Linked DNA regions of Stegostoma tigrinum. The protein of the gene in region 3 purifies or fractionates together with the protein of the main gene of each other region. This does not show direct contact. Links are inferred from orthologs where the notes say so. Each region holds a gene or a part of one and is shown on either strand. Other genes may lie near its edges.

Region 1 (7,455 bases), on a different chromosome or scaffold from region 3:
GAGAAGGGTTCCTGATCCACTGATGCTGCTTGGCCTGTTGTGTTCATCCAGCTCTACACCTTGTTATCTCAGATTCTCCAAAATCTGCAGTTCCTACTATCTCCTTAACATTAACAGATGCTGCCAAATCTGACCTTCTCCAGCAAATTCTGTTTTTCATTTTAGATGCAGTAGATGTTGTTGCCACTGCCAGCAATCGAATAAATTCTGTTCGAAATCTAAAATAAATGCTGTTCTAAATATAAAATACATGTTGTTTCAGTTTGAACAGAACATTCTTTCAGGTGAAGCAAAAATACCAGGGGTCACATTCAACACAAGTGTGGCCTGAAGATTGGACATGCTTTTTGTAATATTTCACACTGATTGCATTTGTAAAAAGTGTACCAGAGAAGACAGCGCTCAAGTGAGTAGGTTTACCACATTAACTGTCCACGTTAGTAAAAATGTGTTACAGCAGAACATTCATGTAATAGGCTGAGGTGGCACGGGGTGGCAGGAGCTCAGTGACCTGCTGCTGTGCATTTTGAGGTGTGTTGGTTTAATGAAGGAAATTCCCATGCAGTACAGAATGTGGGAGATGGCAAAGAAGACTGAACAAGGATGAGTACAAGAAGGGCAAAGGATCAGGGGGGGTGTGTATGGGAAGAGGGTGAAGGATCGGGGGGAGGAGTGGGTGTGGGTGAAGGATCAGGGGGGGTGAGTGTGGGAAGTGGGTGAAGGATCGGGGGGGTCAGTTATGGGTGAAGGACGGGGGGGGGGGCGGGTGAGTGACGGGCGAAGGACCGAGGCGGGTGAGTGACGGGCGAAGGATCGAGGCGGGTGAGTGACGGGCGAAGGATCGAGGGGGGAGTGAAGATTCAGGAGGGGGTGAAGGATCGGGGGTTGAAGGATTTGGGGGTGGTGGAGGATCAGTGGGGTGAGTGATGGGTGGAGGATCTGGGGGGGGTGAAGGATCGAGGGGAGTGAAGGAACGGGGGTGGCGAAGGATCGGGTTGGGGTGAAGGATCGCGGGGGGGCGAAGGATCGGCGGGGGTGAGGGATGGGTTAACGATCGGGGGGGGGGGGAGTGAAGATCCGGGGGTTCAAGGATCCAGGGGTTCAAGGATCTGGGGCGGGGTGAAGGATCGGGGTGGTGGGGGGGGGGCAAAGGATCGGAGGGGCGAAGGATCAGCGGGGGTGAAGGATCGGGGGGGCGTGGGGTGAGTGATGAGAGAAGGATCCGGGGGGGGTGAGTGACGGGCGAAGGATCGGAGGTGGGGTGAGGGACGGGCGAAGGACTGAAGGGGGTGAGGGACGGGCAAAGGACCGAGTGGGGTGAGGGACGGGCAAAGGACCGAGGGGGGTGAGGGACGGGCAAAGGACCGAGGGGGGTGAGGGACGGGCAAAGGACCGAGGGGGGTGAGGGACGGGCGAAGGACCGAGGGGGTGAGTGACGGGCGAAGGGCCGAGGGGGTGAGTGACGGGCGAAGGGCCGAGGGGGGTGAGTGGCGGGCGAAGGATCGAGGGGGGTGAGTGACGGGCGAAAGATCGAGGGGGGTGAGTGACGGGCGAAAGATCGAGGGGGGTGAGTGACGGGCGAAGGATCGAGGGGAGTGAAGGATCGGGGGGGGCGGCGAAGGATCGGTGGGGCAGCGAAGCATCGGGTTGGGGTGAAGGATCTGGGGGGTGATGGATCGGGGGGGGTGAAGGATCAGGGGGGTGAAGGATCGGGGGGGTGAAGGATCGGGGGGGTGAAGGATCGGGGGGGTGAAGGATCGGAGTGGGTGAAGGATCGGGGGAAGGGTGAAGGATCGGCGGGGGTGAGGGATGGGTGAACGATCGGGGAGGTTGGGGATGGGTTAACGATCGGGTGGGTGAGTGATAGGTTAACGATCGGGGGGGGTGAGTGATGGGTGAACGATCGTGGGGGGAGTGAAGATTCGGGGGGGTGAAGGATCGGGGGGGGTGAAGGATTTGGGGGTGGTGAAGGATCAGTGGGGTGAGTGATGGGTGGAGGATCGGGGGGGTGAAGGATCGAGGGGAGTGAAGGATCGGGGGGGTGAAGAATCTGCGGGGGTGAAGGATCGGGGTGGTGGTGATGGGTGAAGGATCGGTGGGGGGGGGCGAAGGATCGGGGTGGGGTGAAAGATCGGGGGGGGGGCGAAGGATCAGCGGGGGTGAAGGATCGGGGGTGGGGTGAGTGATGGGTGAAGGATCGGACCGGGGTGGAGGATCGGGGGGGTGAAGGATCGGGGGGGTGAAGGATCGGGGGGGTGAAGGATCGGGGGGGTGAAGGATCGGGGGGGTGAGTGATGGGTGAAGGATTGGGGGGTGGTGAGTGATGGGTGAAGGATCGGGGGGGTGAGTGATGGGTGAAGGATTGGGGGGTGGTGAGTGATGGGTGAAGGATCGGGGGGGTGAGTGATGGGTGAAGGATCGGGGGGGTGAGTGATGGGCGAAGGATTGGGGGGGGTGAGTGATGGGTGAAGGATCGGGGGGGTGAGTGATGGGTGAAGGATCGGGGGGGTGAAGGATGGGTGAAGGATCAGGGGGGTGAGTGATGGGTGAAGGAAGCTTCAGCAATGCCCCTCACCGTTAGCCCCAGCCTCCTGCCGGAAGAAGCGCTCCAGTGAAACAGCTCGGTAAGTGTCAGCGCGGCTCCGGCTCCGGTCACTCCGGCCATCCTGGCTGACCAGTTCGAGCAGCTCCTGGCCCACCTGGTTCCCGCACTGTCCGAGCTGCAGCAGCACCAGCGCCATTCCCCTCCCCAAGCCGCTCACCCCCGGGGCTGTCTGTCTGACTGTCTGCCGTCGCCGCTCCCCCCGACTATCTAACTGACCACCCCCCACAGGGCTGTCTGTCTGACTGACTGAACCCACCCCTCCCCTGGGGCTGACTGACTGACCACCGTCTCCCCGCGCTCTGTCTAACTGACCGGACCCTTCACGCGCGACTCGGCCTGGCCCCGTTGCCACAGCAATGCGCGCGCTCTCTCGCGGGTTAATTGCGGGTCGGGAGGGCCTCCGTCTTTGGCGCATGCGCGCTTTTCGCTGTCCCGCCACCACCAGCACAACAACAACTTACGTTTTCATAGACAGTAGGAAGTGCAGATGCTGGAGAACCTGAGATGACGCGGTGTGGAGCTGGATGGACACAGCAGGCCAAGCAGCGTGAGAGGAGCAGGAAAGCTGATGTTTCAGCGCTCTCACGCGCAGAAGAGTGAGGTCCGCAAGTGTTTCATAGGGACATTGACAAACTCTCAGACCGGACCCCAGCTGACCTAAAAAATGTTTTAAAGTAATGACAAATCTCAAATGAGGGAACATTCGGTAGCAGCCCGTGGATCAAGCAAATTGAATGTTTCAGGGCACTGACCTTTCATTGAAATACAGAATATAGGAACAAGAGGAGGCCATTTGTCCCCGCAAACCTGCTCTGTCATTCAATATGATCATGGTTGATCATTCAGCTCAATACCCTAAGTCCACCCACTCCCCCATCCCTTGAATCTTTTTGTCACAGTAGCTTCTTGAAAACACAATGTTTTAACCTCAACCATTTCTGTGGTAGTGATTTCCAGAAGCTCACCACTCTCTGCTTGAGGAAATTTCTCCTCATCTCAGTCCTGAATGGTTTGCCACTTGTCCTAAAACTATGACCCCTGGTTCTGGACTACCCCACCACTGGGAACATTCTTCCTGCATTTAACCTGTCTGGCCATGTTAGAATTTAATATGTTTCTATGAGAACCCCCTCATTCTTCAAAACTCCAGTGAATCCTAACTGACTCAATCTCTCCTCGTACATTAGCCCTGCCATTCCAGGAATCAATTTGATGAACCTTTGCCACGCCCCCTCTAAAGCAAGAGCATCATTCCTCAGACAAGGTGACCAAAACTGCATACAATATTCCAGATGTGGAACAAAAACAACATTGCTGGAAAAGCTCAGCATCCGCAGTTCTTTTGGTTTTAATCCCAGACGTGGCTATAAAGACTAACACACAGTTTGCCTTCTTTATTGCCTACTACATTTGCACACTTTCAGGAACTAGTGTACAATCACAATTTCTCTCAATTTACAGCCATTTAAACATTAATCTGCCTTCCTCTTTTTCACTACCAAAGTGGATAACCTCACACTTAACCACATTATAGTGCATCTGCCATCCATCTGTCCACTCACTCAGCCTGTCCAAATCACACTGCAACATCTCTGCATTCTCCTCACTGCTCACCCTTCAGTACATCAGGCTTTCAGGAACATTTTAAAAGAAAACAATGTTTCAGGTGGGAATTGCAGAGCCTGAGACTTGGTAACTGGAATCACAGATTTGTTAAGGTGCAGAAGGAGGTCTTTTGGCCCATCATGCCAGCACCAGCTCTTCAAGCATCATTATTTCATGTCAATCTCCTACTTTTCCCCCATACCCATGGGTACTATTTCTATCCAAATAATCGTTAAATACCATCATTAATGCCTCTATTGAACCTACTTCCACCACATTTCCAAAACAACTCATTATGTGAAATAGATTGTTTCTCACTTCGCCCTTGTTTGTTTGGTACATCATTTTAAATTTATGCCTACAGTGATTGTAATGAGGTCAGCCAGGTGGACCCATAGAATATGAGTTCCCTAACTGGGGCTGTTAATCTGGTCCAATCAGGCAGCTCTGGCTGAGAGATAAGTAGGAAAGTGTCAGACACCTTGTTCATCCTGAGAGCTGGCTCGAGGGAGGTGGATCACTGTCAAGAACATGCCTCGTGTATATAAAGTGTAACTTGGTGATGCAATACTGGCCTCTGTGGAGTTATTTCATTGGCGTCATTGTTTTCTGAGCACGGGTTTTCTCCATCTATATGTTATCAAGCCCACTCATGATTTTGAAAACCCTTATCAAATTTTCTTTCAGCACTTTTCTCTCTAAGGAGAACAAGTCCCAATGTCTTCAATCGATCCTACATTCAGTCCATAAAGATGGCCCCAAGTTTGCAGTTGCCTGCCACTTCAACACATCATTGTGTTCCCTAGCCAACATTTCTTCCTCTGGCCTGCTACAGTTCTCCATTGAGGCTCAGCACGTGCAGCAGGAATAGTATCTCATTTTCCATTTGGGGACAGTGCACCCTTCAGGAGTCAATACCGAGTTCAGTCATTTGAAAGCCTGCTACACCTCCTTCCATGTCTCTTACCCACCCCCACACCCCAGGACTTGTCATGACGTGAGTTGCTTTCAGCACAGCCAACCCATTCTCACTCACTCATAGCCCCCATTATCGCTAAACTAGCTTTTCTTTTTCCTCACTTACTATTAATAATCCCTCTGTCTGTCTAACTTTTCCCTCTATCTCTATCTCTCTGTCTTGATATCCATCTCCATCTCTTGGCTCACTCCTGCCCTGACCCCCTGTCATCTTGATAAATACTGTTTTTTCCTAGGTACCATCAGTTCTGAAGAAGGGTCATTGGACTCCAACATTAACTTTGTTTTCTCTGCACAGATGCTGCCAGACCTGCCTAGATTCTCCGGCAATTTTTTTTCAATTAACAGTTGAGTCGTCCAGTTGGACCAATGTTTTTTGCAAACATATTACAACTGCCTTGCTTGTGTGGTCTATGCCTTTATTCATAAATCGTTGGATGAGCCAGGATTTTACCTACTGCCTCAACCTGCAAGATATTTTCAACAATTTATCCATTACTAAGCCCAGGGTCCTTTTCTTTCATTCATTCATGGGACATGGGGAACACTGGCATCAGCGTTTATTGCCCATCCCTGGTCACCCTTGACAAGGCGATGGTGAGCTGCCTTCTTGAACTGCTGTAGTTCATGTGCTGTGGGTTGACTCCACAATGCCATTTGAGGGGAATTCTAGGTGTTTTACCGAATGACACTGAAGGAACAGCTTCCCCTGTCCTTCCAGATGTAGGTTTGGAAGGTGCCCTCTGAGGATCTTTGGTGAATTTCTGCAGTGCATCTGGTAGATAGTACACAGTGTTACTACTGAGTGTCAGTGGTGGAGGGAGTGTATGCTTGTGGACATGGGGCCAATCAGGTGGGCAGTTTTGTCCTAGATATGTAAGTTTCTTGAGTGTTGTTGGAACTCCACTCATCCAGGCAAGTGGGGAGTATTCATCTCACTCCGGAATTATGCCTTGTAGATGTTGGACAAGTTCTGGGGAGTTAGGAGGTGAGTTACTTGCTGCAGTATTCCTAGCCTCTGACCTACTCTTGTAGCCAGTGTTTATGTGGTGAATCCAGTTGAGTTTCTGGTCAACGGTAACTCCCAGGATGTTGATAGTGGTGGATTCAGTAAGGGTGGCACAGTGATTTGCACTGCTGCCTCAGCACCAGGGACCTGGGTTGAAGCCTGTGTGGAGTTTGCACATTCTCCCGTGTCTGTGTGGGTTTCTTGCAGGTGCTCTGTTTTCATCCCACAGTGCAAAGATGTGCAGATTGGGTGAATTGGCTATGCTTTAAAGTCCAGGAATATGTAGTTAGGGGAATCAGCTGTGGGAAATGCAAGGGTTACAGGGATAGGGTACAGCGCGAGGCAGGGTGAGATGGTCTTTGCAGAGTTGGTGTGGACTTGTTGGGCTGAATGGCTCATTTCAATCCCATAGGGATTCTATTCAAATGATGCTTGCCACTTGTCAGCCCACATCTTGATATTGTCCAGATCTTTTTGCATTTGAACAACATAGGCACCCTTTCAGAATTGTATCATTTTCTCATGTTCTCCAGGGTCTTCCAACAAAGTGGATCACTTTGCATTTCTCTGCACATTTTGTCTGTTAATGTTCACCCATTCCATCAACTTTTCTTTATTCTTTTGAAGTTAAGCCCACAGATAGTGCATATGACACACCAGAAAAGATACAACAAAATGCACTCAATGTGACTTATGAGTGGGATTCTCCAGCTGATATTTGACACAAATGAAGATTATAGTCAATAGGAATTAATCACCATGGCAACTTGAGCTTCCATAGATATTTAAACTGGGAAAGAGTTAACAAAGTAATTGATCCTACAGGGAGTGTAGCTGAGCAGTTAATAATGTGTAATGCCATCCTCGAGCATGCTGAAAATCATGCCCTGCATTTCCTGAAGTCATCACAAAGATTGTAGAGATGGTAGAAAGCATGCATATTTCCCTAACTTACCTTTCTTTTACACCCAGGTTGACAGAAAGCACAAACCAGATTTCTGTACTTTACAAAAATTACTATTCTAGATTTTAACTACAGATAAACAGTTTTGAACCATCAGAATATAACTGTGCTGATTAAAACATTATTAAAACACATATAAATGCAAGCTTAATCATATATGCAGACACACACAGACATGAAGTGGATGTTATGGGTGGAAATAAAGACTAAGAAAGCAGTTCAGTGGTTTCTGTTACAGGATTTGTTGAGATAATTCTTGTGCTGATCAGGTTGTTGCTTCTTGATCTTTCTTCT
Region 2 (7,076 bases), on a different chromosome or scaffold from region 3:
CTGAAACTCATTCAATGCTATCATCCCAGCTGATGGAATTTAACTTGTCCATTAATATCAACTTGAAATCTGGTTTGATAGACTAGAAATTGAATTTGGGCAATTGGTTTATTACTGTGGTCAGTAACTGAATGTATTAAAAAGAGGCTGCCAATCTACTTTTAACAAAAAAAATATATATTTATGTTCATGTTATTAGACAAATCCTTTTTCTAACTTAGCCTTTGGGATCAGTTTAACTCAGTTGGCTGGACTGCAGAATGAAGCTAACAGCATGGGTTCAACTCTTACGCTGGCTGAGGTTACCATGAAGGATTCTACTTCTCAACTTCTTCACTCGTCCAAGACATGGTGACCCTCAGGTTAAAATACCACCAGCTGTGCTTCTCCAATGAGACAGTCGTCCTGCAGTTTGGTAAGACTACAGTGACTTTACCTCTGTATAAGAACTATTTGAAATGTTCTTAGCACATATTAGGAAGATACAATCTTCTTGCTCTCACCTTAAAAGTCCAAGTTACTCTCTTTCCACTTTAAAAGCTTCTTGTTCAGGAAGCATGGCTATTCTTGGCTTCTTACCAGCAAACTTCTGCATTCACTCTACACCATCATGTCCAGGTCAGATTTCTTCAGGAGACCATTAAGCTGCTAACATAACCGATTTATTCCTCACGAGGTGTTCACTTAAATTGTGCATTCAATGGCCTTGTAAGATATTCATAGATCATCATCACAGAACTCCTATAGTGTGGAAACAGGCCCGTTGGCCCAAAAAATCCACACTGACCCTCAGAGCATTCCACCCAGACCCATTCACCCCTCTCGTCATAACCCACCTAATCTACACCTCCCTGAACACCACGGGCAATTTAGCATGGCCAATCCATCTAGTCTGCACGTTTTTGGACTGTGGGAGGAAACCAGAGCACCCGGAGAAAACCTACGCAGGCACAGGTAGAATGTGCAAACTCCACACAGCTAGTGGCCCGAGAGTGGAACTGAACTCAGGTCCCTGGTGTTGTGAGGCAGCAGAGCTAACTACCGAGCCTTCGTGCTGCCCACATTCTCCTGTCACCTAACTTTTTGCCACACAGGGTTTTTCTTCTGCACTGTCTTTTTTTTTAAATTGCTAAACTGCAGTGGTAAATCAAGGCTGATGCACACCTTTTCTCTCCACTGGGCATGCTTATCTCTCTGAAATACACTTACCTACCCATTAGTCTTCTAAATGGTTCTATCTTTCTAGGAAGGCATTTCTATCTCTGCCTCCTTGTCCCAGAGGACATCTTGTTGCTGCAACCCATTTTATATTTCCCTTCAGAGTCACTGAAGTGTTACAGTGCAGCAGGAGGCCATTCAACCCCTCCTGTCTTCAGCAGCTTTCCAAATGGGAATTATAACTCAGCGCCACTCTCCTGCCTGCTTCCCAAAATCTTGCACATTATTTAATAGAAAGAATCATCTAGTGCCATTGAATGCCTCAATTAAACTTGCTTCCACCTCAGTTCTCACTACAAGTGTTCAACTACTGAACATGACTCAATCGTTGTGTGAGGAAGTTCTTTTCTCAAATCACGTTTTTATTTTGCAAATCACTTGAAATCTGTACCATCTCATTCATTAGCCGCTTCTTTTAGGACCATTGGTTGAAGTTCATCAGGATCGGGGCAATTGACAGGCCTAAGTTCCAATAATTTAATAAGAACCACTTCTTTGGAGATTGAGAGTTTCTCCAACTAATGAGCTTCCCTCTTGTTTTTGTTTTAAAACCTTCCCCTGCCCATATTTCTCCTTGAAAGCTGATTATTCTAACTCCGATTCAGGTCTGATGAAATGTTAACTATTACTTTCCACAAATTCTATAATACCGAACGTGCATTTGCAGCATTTTATTATTTATTTCCAATTTCCAGCATCTGCAGTATTGTGCCTGTGTTCAAAATTTAGCACATTTGATATTTTTCATTTCCTGAAATCTAGATTATTCATTCATGCACCCCTTCCTCTCTCACTTCATGTTTCTTGATCTACACACACCAATACGTAATCTCTCTCAAGATCTCTGCTTCTCACAATCGTTCCTTCTCCCACAAACAACCATACATCAATCATTATCAATCTCTCACCTTCTGCATTTAGTGTCCGTCACTAATGATTAATGGTGACAACTTGTTTCATAATTTTCAGTAATAAATCAATTAGCAAATTCCAGTTGCCAAATTTTATGATTTAAAAAAGCTGTAGACCCTGCTGATAAATGTAATATGATGGCTACTATTAAATAATACTTTTTTAAAAATCCCATCATAGGAGGGCATTGCTGACTACAGTAGCCTTTATTGCCCTCCCTAATTGCCCTGAGGACAGTTAAGAGTTAACCCTATTGCTGAGAATTGGAATCACACATGGGTCAGACCAGGTAAGATTGGCAAATTTCCTTCCCTGAAGAATATTAGTGAATGAGATGGGTTTTTCTAACAAACCACACCAGTTTCACGGTGATCACATGTCTGTTAAATGTATCCAAAATCCACCATTTGCCACGGTGGGATTTGAACCCCAAATTATTAAGACTACTGCTAATACCACTAGTCCGTGCCCTTTCTGAGCATCCAAATTTTCTAGCAAGCACTGAAGTTTAAAAACTTGCATGTGAATACTTTTATATTGCTCATCGTGGGATTGAATGCCTGATAAGATGCAAGAAAATACATCCAAGTCCCACATAGTGGTCACAAGATGTGCAGGGTCATTCCAGCCCACGGGTGAACTTATTTCTATTTATTGACATATGAGGAACACTTTCCATCGAATTGGAGAATACGGGTACAGACAGTCAATGAATAGGCAGTTAATTAAACAAGCAAACTAATTTTCAATGGACAAGTTGATCACAAATGTGGGTGACATTTAGAATAAGGCAAATCTAACTAGATATTTAGATGATAAGACTTCTCTATTCAGATACTTCAATGCTAATAAATCAACAAAGGGCTCACCAAGTATTCTCATATGCTTGGAATTCTATTTTTGATTGTAAACAGGATTATGGAAGGGCCTTAGTGGCACAGCAATGGTATCCCAACTTCTAAGCCAGGAGGCCTGGTTCCAGAGGTGTGTCATAACAAATCTGCACAGGCTGATTGCAAATATTTACACATAATTATGATTAATATACACCATATAGTCCAGGGTCACAGAGTAGAAGATAACAAATGGATACAGACAAGGCAACATAAGGAGTCATTGTCTGGCATCTGATTTGCATCTGATATCATAACGAAGGCCTAAATTATATTCTATATTAATCTTCAGTCTAGAAATTATTGTACTGATATTATGTTCACCTAGCGTGTCTTTGTCACTTCAACAGGAATGTTAACATACTTAAAAAGTCCATAATGAGTCAAATCAATATAAAGTCTGCATCAGAGTAATATCTTCTAGATATGGCCCATAACGTTTAGGAAAAGAAAACTGCAACGTATGTTATATCCACTTTTGACATGACCGTAAAATTATTGGATAAAAATCATACGTAGAAACAAATTCTAAGCCTATGGTTTATCAGGTTCCTTGAAAACGTAAAGGAGGATCACGGAGGAAGGGGGTGAAGACAACCTCGAAGTCTCCCATTTCTACAAAACAGACTAACGTTAACCCCAGTCAGTAGCCCGCGGGCCTGCCCCTCTTGCGTCATGTTAGCGGTAGGGACCCGGACTCCTCCGCACTCGAGCAGTAGGAGCAGATCCGTCCAGCGGCCTAGTCAAGCAACATACTCCCTCAATTCCTTCCATCGCTCACGGCAACCAGCCTCTTCAGTAACGAATAAACAGAAAAGTAAACAGCTCAACACTCACTTATCTTCACTCTTGTTTTTCTGTTTTTTCCCCATTTTTTTACACTGTTGCCTCACTGTCACTTTTTAAAATCTCTTTCAGACATATGGCAGTCGCGTGAATCTGCGCATGCGCTATCGCGGCTGACCCGTGATCTGATCTCTGATTGGCTGTGGTTTCAGCCCATCCGCCCGCTTGTCAATCATTCAAGGCGGAAGTAGAAAGTGCAAAGGAGGAAATGATGCAAAAGAGCTGGGATCAATACTGCAAAAAGACATTTCGGAGAGCATCAAGATTCAATCTTGCTTTTTATGATTATTATTTTAAGAAGGGGAATTTGGCAACTACTTTTCCTTCCAACAGTTTATGAAAAGTACAAATGCCAAAACTGTGGAGGAAAAATACAGCATTTTATCAAATAGTTGCTTCCTATTACAGTCGCAAATCTGCATCTCAAAAGCTCTCCTTTAGCATCAGGTAAACATTATAATTTAAAAATATCAATATGCTATTGTAATTTATTAAACTATGTTGCAATTTATAGTTTACTTATTCTAATCATGGTTAGAAGCGTATTTATTGCCATGTATTTACCCTTTCCTTTATTTAAATTGTGACTATCATGTCATTTTTGGTACTAGAAACTGTTTGGTGGGTTGCAGTTTTTGTTTCTCACGATATTACATTATTCAAACAAGGCAACGTTTATTGATGACTGAGACCTTACGTTTAGCCTTAGTAATGAGGGTGCCATAAGAAGGTCCAGAATGGTGAAGGAGTACAGGCCAAAATAAAGATAGTTTGTGACTTGGAGGAAAACTTATAGGTGACAGTTTTCTTGTGGTTATTGTTGTTCTGTTTGCACTCGTAGTAGGACTGGAAAGCTTTCCATACAACTCTAAAATTGCATGTGTTATTGCCACAAGGTTTGAACGATGGAATGTGTGTTATTTTCTTAGAGGACTATTCCTATTTCCTTGTAGTAACTACCACCTTTACAATACGTGGTGCTGAGTCAAGATTGTTTGCGGCAATCTGCTACAAACAGTGTTCATTTCTTTTCTCTACCTATCTCGTGATTCTTGGTAGGAGGATCCAGCACCATGGACTATCTACAGAAGAGGCACTGTTCTCAGATAACAAGGTTTACTGCATTACAACAATGAGTGCAAATATTTTCAATCAGGCATAACTACTAGGACCATAACGAGTTTGTACAAGTGCATTTGCTCCTTCCAAAAGCAGAACTTGTCAACATTTTGTTTTTGTGTGAACTGTCTTTCAGTCCTGTCACTTTATATACCTGGGAAGGAGTCAAATGGAAGCATGTTGAGTGCAATGGCATAGATGATATTCAAAAATTGCTCCACACTAGATGCAGTTAAGTTTATTGAGTGTTGCTCTTGTTGCACTGAGTGAGATATGTGTTTCATTACGCTCAAAACATAACTGTTGGCGATCTTGTGAACTATCACCCTGTTCCCTTGGCTTCTCCTACGAGTATTGTTTAGTGCTTGTTTTGGGTAGCATCTTTGTATCAACAGAAAAGTATAATTCTTGAGACTTATAAAATTGCATAATTGGAGAAGCGGGGCAGAGTTTTTCTCTTGTTTACCACTATTTGGGTGGTAAAAAAGAAGAAAGGTCAAATAGAATCGATAAAATGTGGAGCTGAAGGAGCACAGCAGGTCAGGCAGTATCAGAGGAGCAGGAAAGTCAATGTTTCGAGTCCGGACCCTTCACCTGGACTGGGGAGGGGAAGGGAGCTCAGAAATAAACGGGCGAGGTTGGGCTGGAGGAAGGAGTGCGTATGATGATAGGTAAATGCAGGTAGGGAATTGAAGAGATTGGTCAGTGGGAAGGGTGGAGTGAATGGATGAGAAGGAAGATGGACAGGTTGTAACAGGTCAAAGAGGCGGGGATGAGAGGTAGGGCTGGACGTGGGTCGAGGCTGGTGGTGGGGAGATTTTGAAGCTGGTGAGGTCTATGTTGAGGCCATTGGGCTGTAAGCTCCTGAGGGGGAATGTACGGCATTGCTCTTCCAGTTTATGTATCGCCTCATTTTGACTGTGGAGGAGGCCCAGGATGGATATGTTGCCAAGGCAGTAGGATGGGGAGTTGAAATGGCTAGCAACCGGAAGGTGGCATTGATTGGAGCGTACCGGGTGTAGATGCTGTGCAAATTGGCCCCTGAATCAGTGCTTGGTCTCCCTTATATAGGGAAGACCGCATTGGGAGCAACTGATACAGTCGATCAGGTTAGAAGACATACAATTGAATCTCTGCTGGATATGGAATGATTGTTTGGGACCTTGGATGCAGCTGAGAGGGAATGCATAGGGGCAGATGTAGCACCTCCTTCAGTTGCAGGGCAGGATGCCAGGTGTGGTGGGAAAGTTGGTGGGGCACGTGCAGCTGACGACAGAGTGAGCAGTCCCTACAGAAGGCAGATAGAGATGGGGAAATATCTTTTCGGTGGTGGGGTGAAATCGCAGGTGACAAAAATGGCACAGGATGATGCATTGGATTTGCAGATTGGTGGGGTAGAATGTGAGGACCAGGGATAGGGGAAGGGGATTTGAGGGCAGAAGTGCAGGAAATGAGGAGATGTGGTTGAGGGAATTCTGAATCACAGGAGTGGGGAAATTATGGTCCTTGAAGGATGACATCTGGGATGTCTGGGAGTGGAACGCTTCATCACAGGACAGATGTGACAGAGGCAGAAGAATTGGGAGTATGGGATCATATTTTTGCAAGAGGATAGGTGAGAGGAGGTATGGTCAAGATAGCTGTGGCAGTCGGTGGGTTTGAAATGGAATTCGGTTGCCAGAGATGGAGACGCAGAGGTCCAGGAAGGGAAGGGAGGTGTCAAGTTGGTCCAGGTGAATTTGAGATTGGGGTGAAAGGTGTTGCTGAAGTTGATGACCTGTTCAAACTCCTCATGGGGGCATGAGGCAGCACCAATACAGTCATCAATGTAGCGGAGGAAGAGGTGAGGGATGGTGCCAGTGTGTCTGCGGAAGAGGTACTGTTCCACCAATCCGGCAAAGAGGCAGGCATAGCTCGGACCCATGCGAGTGCCCATAGCTACCCTCTTAATTTGTAGGAAGTGGAAGGAGTCAAAGGAATAACTGTTGAGGGTAAGGACTAGTTCTGCCAAGCGAATGAGAGAGTTGGTGGAGGGGAACAGGTTGTGCCTGTGACAGAGGAAGAAACAGAGGGCTTTTATGCCCTCCT
Region 3 (7,334 bases):
TTTTGTTCAGTTGCACCTTTGTTAAATAAAGAGACAGACCGAGTTCTCTCTTCTAAAATTTGACAAATTAATAGACTTAATTAAGGAAAAGTTATAGGAATATTGTATTTTGAGCCTTACATGCTATACCAGTTTAAAGGGAATTCATGCAGAGCAGGAACTCCATAAGAACACCCTTTTCGACTTATCATTCTACAGTTTAAACTTAGGTTTTAGAACTGGATAACTTACAGTACTAATTCTTTCCAGCAGTATTGGAATTAAATGCCACTCCCATGAACGTGACATGAATGCAGATATTTAGGTCTACTACTTTGTGGGCTTTTCCAGCAATCTTACAGATCTTTTATACGGTATGTGTATTCTTTGCAGGCAAATGGCATACCTAACTAAATTTATTTTCTGCAGTTTCTATTGAGATTGCTATGTGTCTCATTAGACTTAACTGATGCTGGTATACAACTTGATTTTGCCACCAGAATCTATGTATAAATGTGCATTAATCACTTTGACCAAGCAGTAATATAACATTGCTGAGGATGTATCATGCAGCATATCCTTAGTTTCAAAGGATGTTTTTGAACAAGATTTAAACATCATGTTTGCGCCTTGTAGCCATCATGTTCAAAATACCTTGCTATCAATGCTGCTCTTTTTGCTTCAAATAGTTCACTTTCTTTTACCAGTTTCGTTCAGGTCTAATTTGTTGAATGGAATCACATTCTGAAAATGAAATTGCGATTTTGTCCGACTGAAAATTAGAATACTTTTGACATGATTATAAATTATCATATTAAACCTTTAGTCAGTGATGGTGCCATTTAATAATTGCAAAGAAGAAACAGAGACCCTCCATTCCTAGACTATAAAGTACACTAAAGGATGAAAACTTACATTTAATGTTGCTTGGCTATTTTTGTATTGTACAATACTGTAAATTTTTCTAACAAGCATTATAAAATGATAGTCTTGCATAAATGTAGTGATTGTATAAAAGTAGTAAAATAGTTTAAAATTATTTTTACATAGGACACAAAATAGTACAAAGCTCAGAGTGGCGCACATCAATACTTAACTTTGTTGTACATTTTTCTATATATATATTTTAGCCCCTTTGGTGTTTGAGTTGCAAACATTCCATGTTTTCTTGCAATGCTCTTTGTCATAACTGAGTATGAGATGTACTCAAACAAAGAATTAGTTAGAAGTTACCATATTATATTGTTTGCATTTCAGGTTTGCCAAAATTGTTGGTTTTAAGGAATGCCCATATATTTTGTGCCTGAGGTTGTCAAATGTCAGAAGTGCCAATACTTTTTGTAGCATGAGATTGATGATTTTACAAACATTTGTAACTGCAACACATTACTGGGTTTACATCAGTCCTCTAGTTTTGAAGTAAAACCAAATTTTTTTTAAACAAATCATGGTTTATGTATTTGGCAGCTGCCCAGAGCTTTAGTGTTTACTGGCTCTTGGAAATTCCCTGTGGAATAAGCTGCATCTTGCAAAATGAGCATTGTACTTAACGGTGTATGATTAATAAACTTTTTTTGTGCTGAATAACAACAGTCTCCCAGACACTTTATTCACATTTATTCCTATTGTGGAAAGCTGCCTCTCAAGAGCAAAGAGGGAGGCAATATAGTGGAGACTGACTAAAGCCATCATTGCCAAGCTAGGACACATGGCAAGCAAATCTGAACGACATAACCCACTGCCTCAACCCAAGGAAGGGGGATGAATGGTACCTAACTGACTAGCTAACCCACCTCTGCAGCTAGGCTTGCTGGAGGATACCTAGCTAATTCAGTAACCCACCACCTCAACAGGGTACCTGTCTAACTAACTATGTAACCCACTGACGACCCTAGGAAAGGGAAGGGTACCTCACCAATAACCATCTTAATGATGTAAGAAAACAATTGTGGGTGCTGAAGATTTGAAACAAACAAAAACAGAAAAAGCTGGAGAAACTCAGCAGGTCTGACAGCATCTGTAGAAAGAAAATGGAGTAAATGTTTCAAGTCCAGTGACCCCCTCCACCCAAAAATAAAATTGGGCTGGACTTGAAACACTAACTCTAATTACCCCCCACAGACACTGCCAGACCTGAGTTTCTCCAATTTCTGTTCTTGTTTGCACCACTCGAACAACTCCACCGTGAGGAGTGGGGGTGTACCCTAACTAACTAGTGCACCTCTGATGGAGTTGGGGGGAGGCAATGGTCTAGTGGGGATGGAGCAGTAAATAACATAACTGACACACCTCCCAGGTGGGGGGCAGGGTGGCTAATAACCTAATTAATCCACTGCATCAACATCCAGAAACATTAAGGTTGGCAGGCAGAGTAGCATAGCACAAGCTGAACCAATCACTGCCAATCTTGCAGAGGAAGTAAGGGCATTTAAGAGAGTTTATGTCAAGTCAGTTCGCCTGAGTCTGTCAGAAGATGACATTAAAAGTGTGTTCAAGGCCTTTGGAAAGATTAAATCCTGCACCTTGGCCCTGAGACCCCACAAAAAGGAAGCATAATGGATACGGATTCATTGGTATTCTCTTAGTAAAACTGGTTTTGTGATGGTATTGTGGAAAAAGGTAGGGATACATTTAACAAAATTAAAATCAAAGACCTGGCAGGTAGCTGAGATGAAATTGGATAGAATGGTGTGATCTTTCATCTCAGGGTTTTGGCAATCACTCCAACCCAGGTAGATGAGTGATGGACTACTCCAGCTTTCTGTAAATCGTAAGTAATGAGTTTCAAACCCTCCACATAATTTCTTTTTGTCATTTTATCTTCCTTTTTTCCCCTCCTCCTGCTGCTAAATTTGGTCAGAATGCCACTTAACTAGCATTGATGGGCTGCCAGGTCAAATAATGTCAGAATTGGATGTCCTGATGCACCATAAGTGACTACAAGAAAAAACTTTTTGCTGGAATCCAAGGACATGTCATGCACTTTATAAGAACTGCTAATGTCAGCTGGGAGCAAAGTGAAAAAGTAATCAGAATGTGAAAATGTCTGGCAGTTAAACACAACATTGTTCTTCCTTTCTTGCATTTCCATCACTTCATCTGAACCATCAACATCCTTTCTCCCCCAACACTTCTGACCCTGCCCACCCAACTATTGCAAAAAAGTTGCCCCTTCCCCAGTTCCCTTTAGCTCTAATGAAGAGTCATCTAGACTGGCTTTAGAATAATTAGATCAAGGAGAATGTTGGGAGATAAACTAGATGTACAAAGATTTTGTTTTTAGCAACACTTCACCAAAATCTGCAACTATATGGGATTTGAGGCCACATTAAGTGGCAGAGTGGGCACTGACAGTTAATTATGCATGAATCTTTAGTTGGCCCAGGCATTTGATATTGGTATCTGATGATTCAGCTGATAACTTTTTTTTAATCTGTTGGATTAGTTCTGTTGCACCATGAACGTAGCGGGAACTTTAACTTCAACAAACACGTGACATGATCCATGAGTTTGGGCTTTTCTTTTGAATTGAGTTTTTTGAATTGTGTGGGTAGGCGGTAGATGATGCACGGGTGATAATGGAAACTGCAGATGCTGGAGAATCCGAGATAATAAAATGTGAGGCTGGATGAACGCAGCAGGCCCAGCAGCATCTCAGGAGCACAAAAGCTGACATTTCGCGCCTAGACCCTTCATCAGAGAGGGGGATGGGGTGAGGGTTCTGGAATAAATAGGGAGGGGGAGGCGGACCGAAGGAGAGTAAAGAAGATAGGTGGAGAGAGAGTATAGGTAGGGAGGGGACAGGTCAAGGAGGTGGGATGAGGTTAGTAGGTAGGAGATGGAGGTGCGGCTTGGGGTGGGAGGAAGGGATGGGTGAGAGGAAGAACCGGTTAGGGAGGCAGAGACAGGTTGGACTGGTTTTGGGATGCAGTGGGTGGAGGGGAAGAGCTGGGCTGGTTGTGTGGTGCACGGGGTAGCGTTAACTGGAACCATTAACTAAACTGTGACGAACTTCGTCCTAATTTTACTTGTGTAACATCTGTCATTGTAGGTGCTGTGGTGGGACGACTTATAAAACTATTCATTGTATTTTTCACGTGACATTAAGTTTCTGTTCTGTTCCCGGGGGCCGGGTAGGATAATGATCCGAGATAATGGGGACTGCAGATGCTGGAGATTCCAAGATAATAAAATGTGAGGCTGGATGAACACAGCAGGCCAAGCAGCATCTCAGGAGCATGCTCCTGAGATGCTGCTTGGCCTGCTGTGTTCATCCAGCCTCACATTTTATTATCTAGGATAATGATCCATTGAGTCTGCGCGCTGTTGATCCCGCCACCAAGAAGCGGGGTCGTCGATCCGGGCTCTGGAGGCGCGGCCAACTTCCGGGTTCAGGGAGGTCGCGGCTTCCGGCGGTTGGGTCGAAGCTGAGCGGACGGCGACTCTCGAGCTCCCGAGATGGTAGGTGTCTGCGGGCTGAGTATTCGCCGTGTCCCCACACCGAGCGAGAGTCGCTTCCCTTCCCTCGGTATCCGAAAAGCTGGGTAACCGGGGGGCGGGGTGGTGTCTGTGTGTATGTTGAAGTTGAATCCTCAATCTTCTCGTTTTCCGTCTCAGTCGGGCACGTGTTGCGAATATTCACGATGCCGGGGCCGATCGCCTCCCCCACCCCCTGGGCTGGGCAGCGGTTTCTTCTCCCCAGACCCTACCCTCAGCACCTATCCACCGATGGGATGGAATCTTTGTTTTGTGTGTGGCTGGGCAGGGCAGATTGGGAAGAGGCTTCAGGCTGACAGCACCGGAATCGGCTCTGATCGGGGACAAATAAATTTGAAAACACAGACTCTGCGTCCGACAAAACCCCCAGACCCCCCCCCCCCTTCACACCGACCTCTTATCCGGCGGAGTGTTACCGATGTCCCGCTGCCTCAAAATAGCGGATAAAAGCGGCGCCGCCGAAAGTTCCAGCACTCCTGAGGGCGGGGCTTCATTGTCGAAGTGTGCGCAGGCGTAGCCTGCCCCCTCCGCCCAAATCCTACGAAAATGTGAACGAGAGATAATGGGAACTGCAGATGCTGGAGAATCCAAGATAATAAAATGTGAGGCTGGATGAACACAGCAGGCCCAGCAGCATCTCAGGAGCACAAAAGCTGACGTTTCGGGCCTAGACCCTTCATCAGAGAGGGGTGTAGGCCCGAAACAGCTTTTGTGCTCCTGAAATGCTGCTGGGCCTGCTGTGTTCATCCAGCTTCACACTTTGTTATCTTGACAACGTGAACAAATTGAGATAACAAGGTATAGAGCTGGAAGAACACAGGCCGAGCAGGAAAGCTGACATTTTAGGCCTGGACCCTTCATTCGACAACAACTGCCTCTTGCATTTTTATCGTTGCCAACAACCCAAGTCTCCTACCTCAGGTGGATAAGGCTGTTGAGGCATGGAATAGAGGATTAGCAGGGCCATGCAATGTAAGAGGTGGGAAGTTGACTTGGGGTATACAGCACACAAACGAAAGTCCAACCATCCCATGTTCATGCTCCACCTTAAATCTAAGGTTATGTCAGTATTGTATTAAATGGTACACTTACAGTATAATAAAAACCAAAACTACTACAGATGCTGTAAATCAGGAACAAAAACAAAGTTTCTGGAAAAGCCAAGTTCTTTAAGGACCGCAACTTTCCCCCCACAGTGATCGAGAACGCCCTTGACCGCGTCTCCCGTATTTCCCGCAACACATCCCTCACAACCGCCCAAAGAGGATCTCCCTCGTTCTCACACACCACCCCACCAACCTCCGATACAACGCATCATCCTCCGACACTTTCGCCATTTACAATCCGCCCCCACCACCCAAGACATTTTTCCATCCCCACCCCTGTCTGCCTTCCGGAGAGACCACACTCTCCGTGACTCTCTTGTTCGCTCCACACTGCCCTCCAACCCCACCACACCCGGCACCTTCCCCTGCAACCGCAGGAAATGCTACACTTGCCCCCACACCTCCTCCCTCACCCCTATCCCAGGCCCCAAGATGACATTCCACATTAAGCAGACGTTCACCTGCACATCTGCCAATGTGGTATACTGCATCCATTGTACCCGGTGCGGCTTCCTCTACATTGGGGAAACCAAGCGGAGGCTTGGAGACCGCTTTGCAGAACACCCCCGCTCAGTTCGCAACAAACAACTGCACCTCCCAGTCGCAAACCATTTCCACTCCCCCTCCCATTCTCTTGATGACATGTCCATCATGGGACTCCTGCAGTGCACAATGATGCCACCCAAAGGTTGCAGGAACAGCAACTCATAATCCGCCTGGAAACCCTGCAGCCTAATGGTATCAATGTGGACTTCACCAGTTTCAAAATCTCCCCTTCCCCTACTGCATCCCTAAACCAGCCCAGTTTGTCCCCTCCCCCCACTGCACCACACAACCAGCCCAGCTCTTAACCCACCGCATCCCAAAACCAGTCCAACCTGTCTCTGCCTCCCTAACCGGTTCTTCCTCTCACCCATCCCTTCCTCCCACCCCAAGCCGCACCCCCAGCTACCTACTAGCCTCATCCCACCTCCTTGACCTGTCCCCTCCCTACCTCCCCACCTATACTCTCTCCACCTATCTTCTTTACTCTCCATCTTCGGTCCGCCTCCCCCTCTCTCCTTATTTATTCCAGTTCCCTCTCCCCATCCCCCTCTCTGATGAAGGGTCTAGGCCCGAAACATCAGCTTTTGTGCTCCTGAGATGCTGCTTGGCCTGCTGTGTTCATCCAGCCTCACATTTTATTATCTTGGAATTCTCCAGCATCTGCAGTTCCCATTATCTCTCATTATTCTGGAAAAGCCCAGCAGGTCTGGCAGCAACTGAAGGAAAAAACGGAGTTAACGTTTTGGGTTGGTGACTCTTCCTCAGACCTGGCAGCATGTCGTTCTGACCCCTATGCTGCAGGAAATATGAGATTGTAGTATACAGAGCGCAGAAAGAAAGAAAGACTTTTTTTTTGGGCCAGGAGACTGAGGAGAGGTTACAAGGTGGCTAATTTTGCAGAATCTAGAGAAAGTTGATTCATTTTTAAAAGTTCATACCCAAAAAAAATTAAAATTAAATCTAGAAGGAGGGGAAGAGGCTTGGCTAGTATAGAGCAGAAACAGTTGATGGATATGGCTCAGTGATGAGCTGAAGGAAATGTACAGGAGGCCAAAATTTGAATAATTTGAGTTCTCTGAGGGTTATGAACTTACAAATTTGGAGCTTGACTAAGTCATTGATCTCTTAAGCCTGTGGTATCTTTGTAGCTGATTTGATTGTGGCCTTAACTTTTTTTTATATACTTCCTCTTACTTGTATGGATCT

Evidence for each region. The genes of interacting proteins can lie anywhere in the genome.
Region 1: the proteins of cct2 (region 3) and tubd1 purify together in Homo sapiens (co-immunoprecipitation; 3 studies listed by BioGRID and IntAct, with this or other methods). This does not show direct contact. The link is inferred for Stegostoma tigrinum from reciprocal best matches to the Homo sapiens genes CCT2 and TUBD1.
Region 2: the proteins of cct2 (region 3) and txndc9 purify together in Homo sapiens (co-immunoprecipitation; 3 studies listed by BioGRID and IntAct, counting the BioPlex papers as one, with this or other methods). This does not show direct contact. The link is inferred for Stegostoma tigrinum from reciprocal best matches to the Homo sapiens genes CCT2 and TXNDC9.

Annotation. Positions count from the first base shown.
Region 1 is NC_081372.1:527,208-534,662, forward strand, and holds the start of tubd1 (tubulin delta chain), read right to left. Parts: upstream 3,008-7,455; 5' UTR 2,742-3,007; coding exon 2,576-2,741; intron 1-2,575. UniProt on the Homo sapiens protein: Acts as a positive regulator of hedgehog signaling and regulates ciliary function.
Region 2 is NC_081359.1:59,429,709-59,436,784, reverse strand, and holds the start of txndc9 (thioredoxin domain-containing protein 9), read left to right. Parts: upstream 1-4,069; 5' UTR 4,070-4,316; intron 4,317-7,076. Other genes in the region: eif5b (eukaryotic translation initiation factor 5B), read right to left, coding at 3,861-3,895. UniProt on the Homo sapiens protein: Significantly diminishes the chaperonin TCP1 complex ATPase activity, thus negatively impacts protein folding, including that of actin or tubulin.
Region 3 is NC_081371.1:45,599,909-45,607,242, reverse strand, and holds the start of cct2 (T-complex protein 1 subunit beta), read left to right. Parts: upstream 1-4,313; 5' UTR 4,314-4,437; coding exon 4,438-4,440; intron 4,441-4,870; exon of another isoform or gene 4,871-4,972; intron 4,973-7,334. UniProt on the Homo sapiens protein: Component of the chaperonin-containing T-complex (TRiC), a molecular chaperone complex that assists the folding of actin, tubulin and other proteins upon ATP hydrolysis.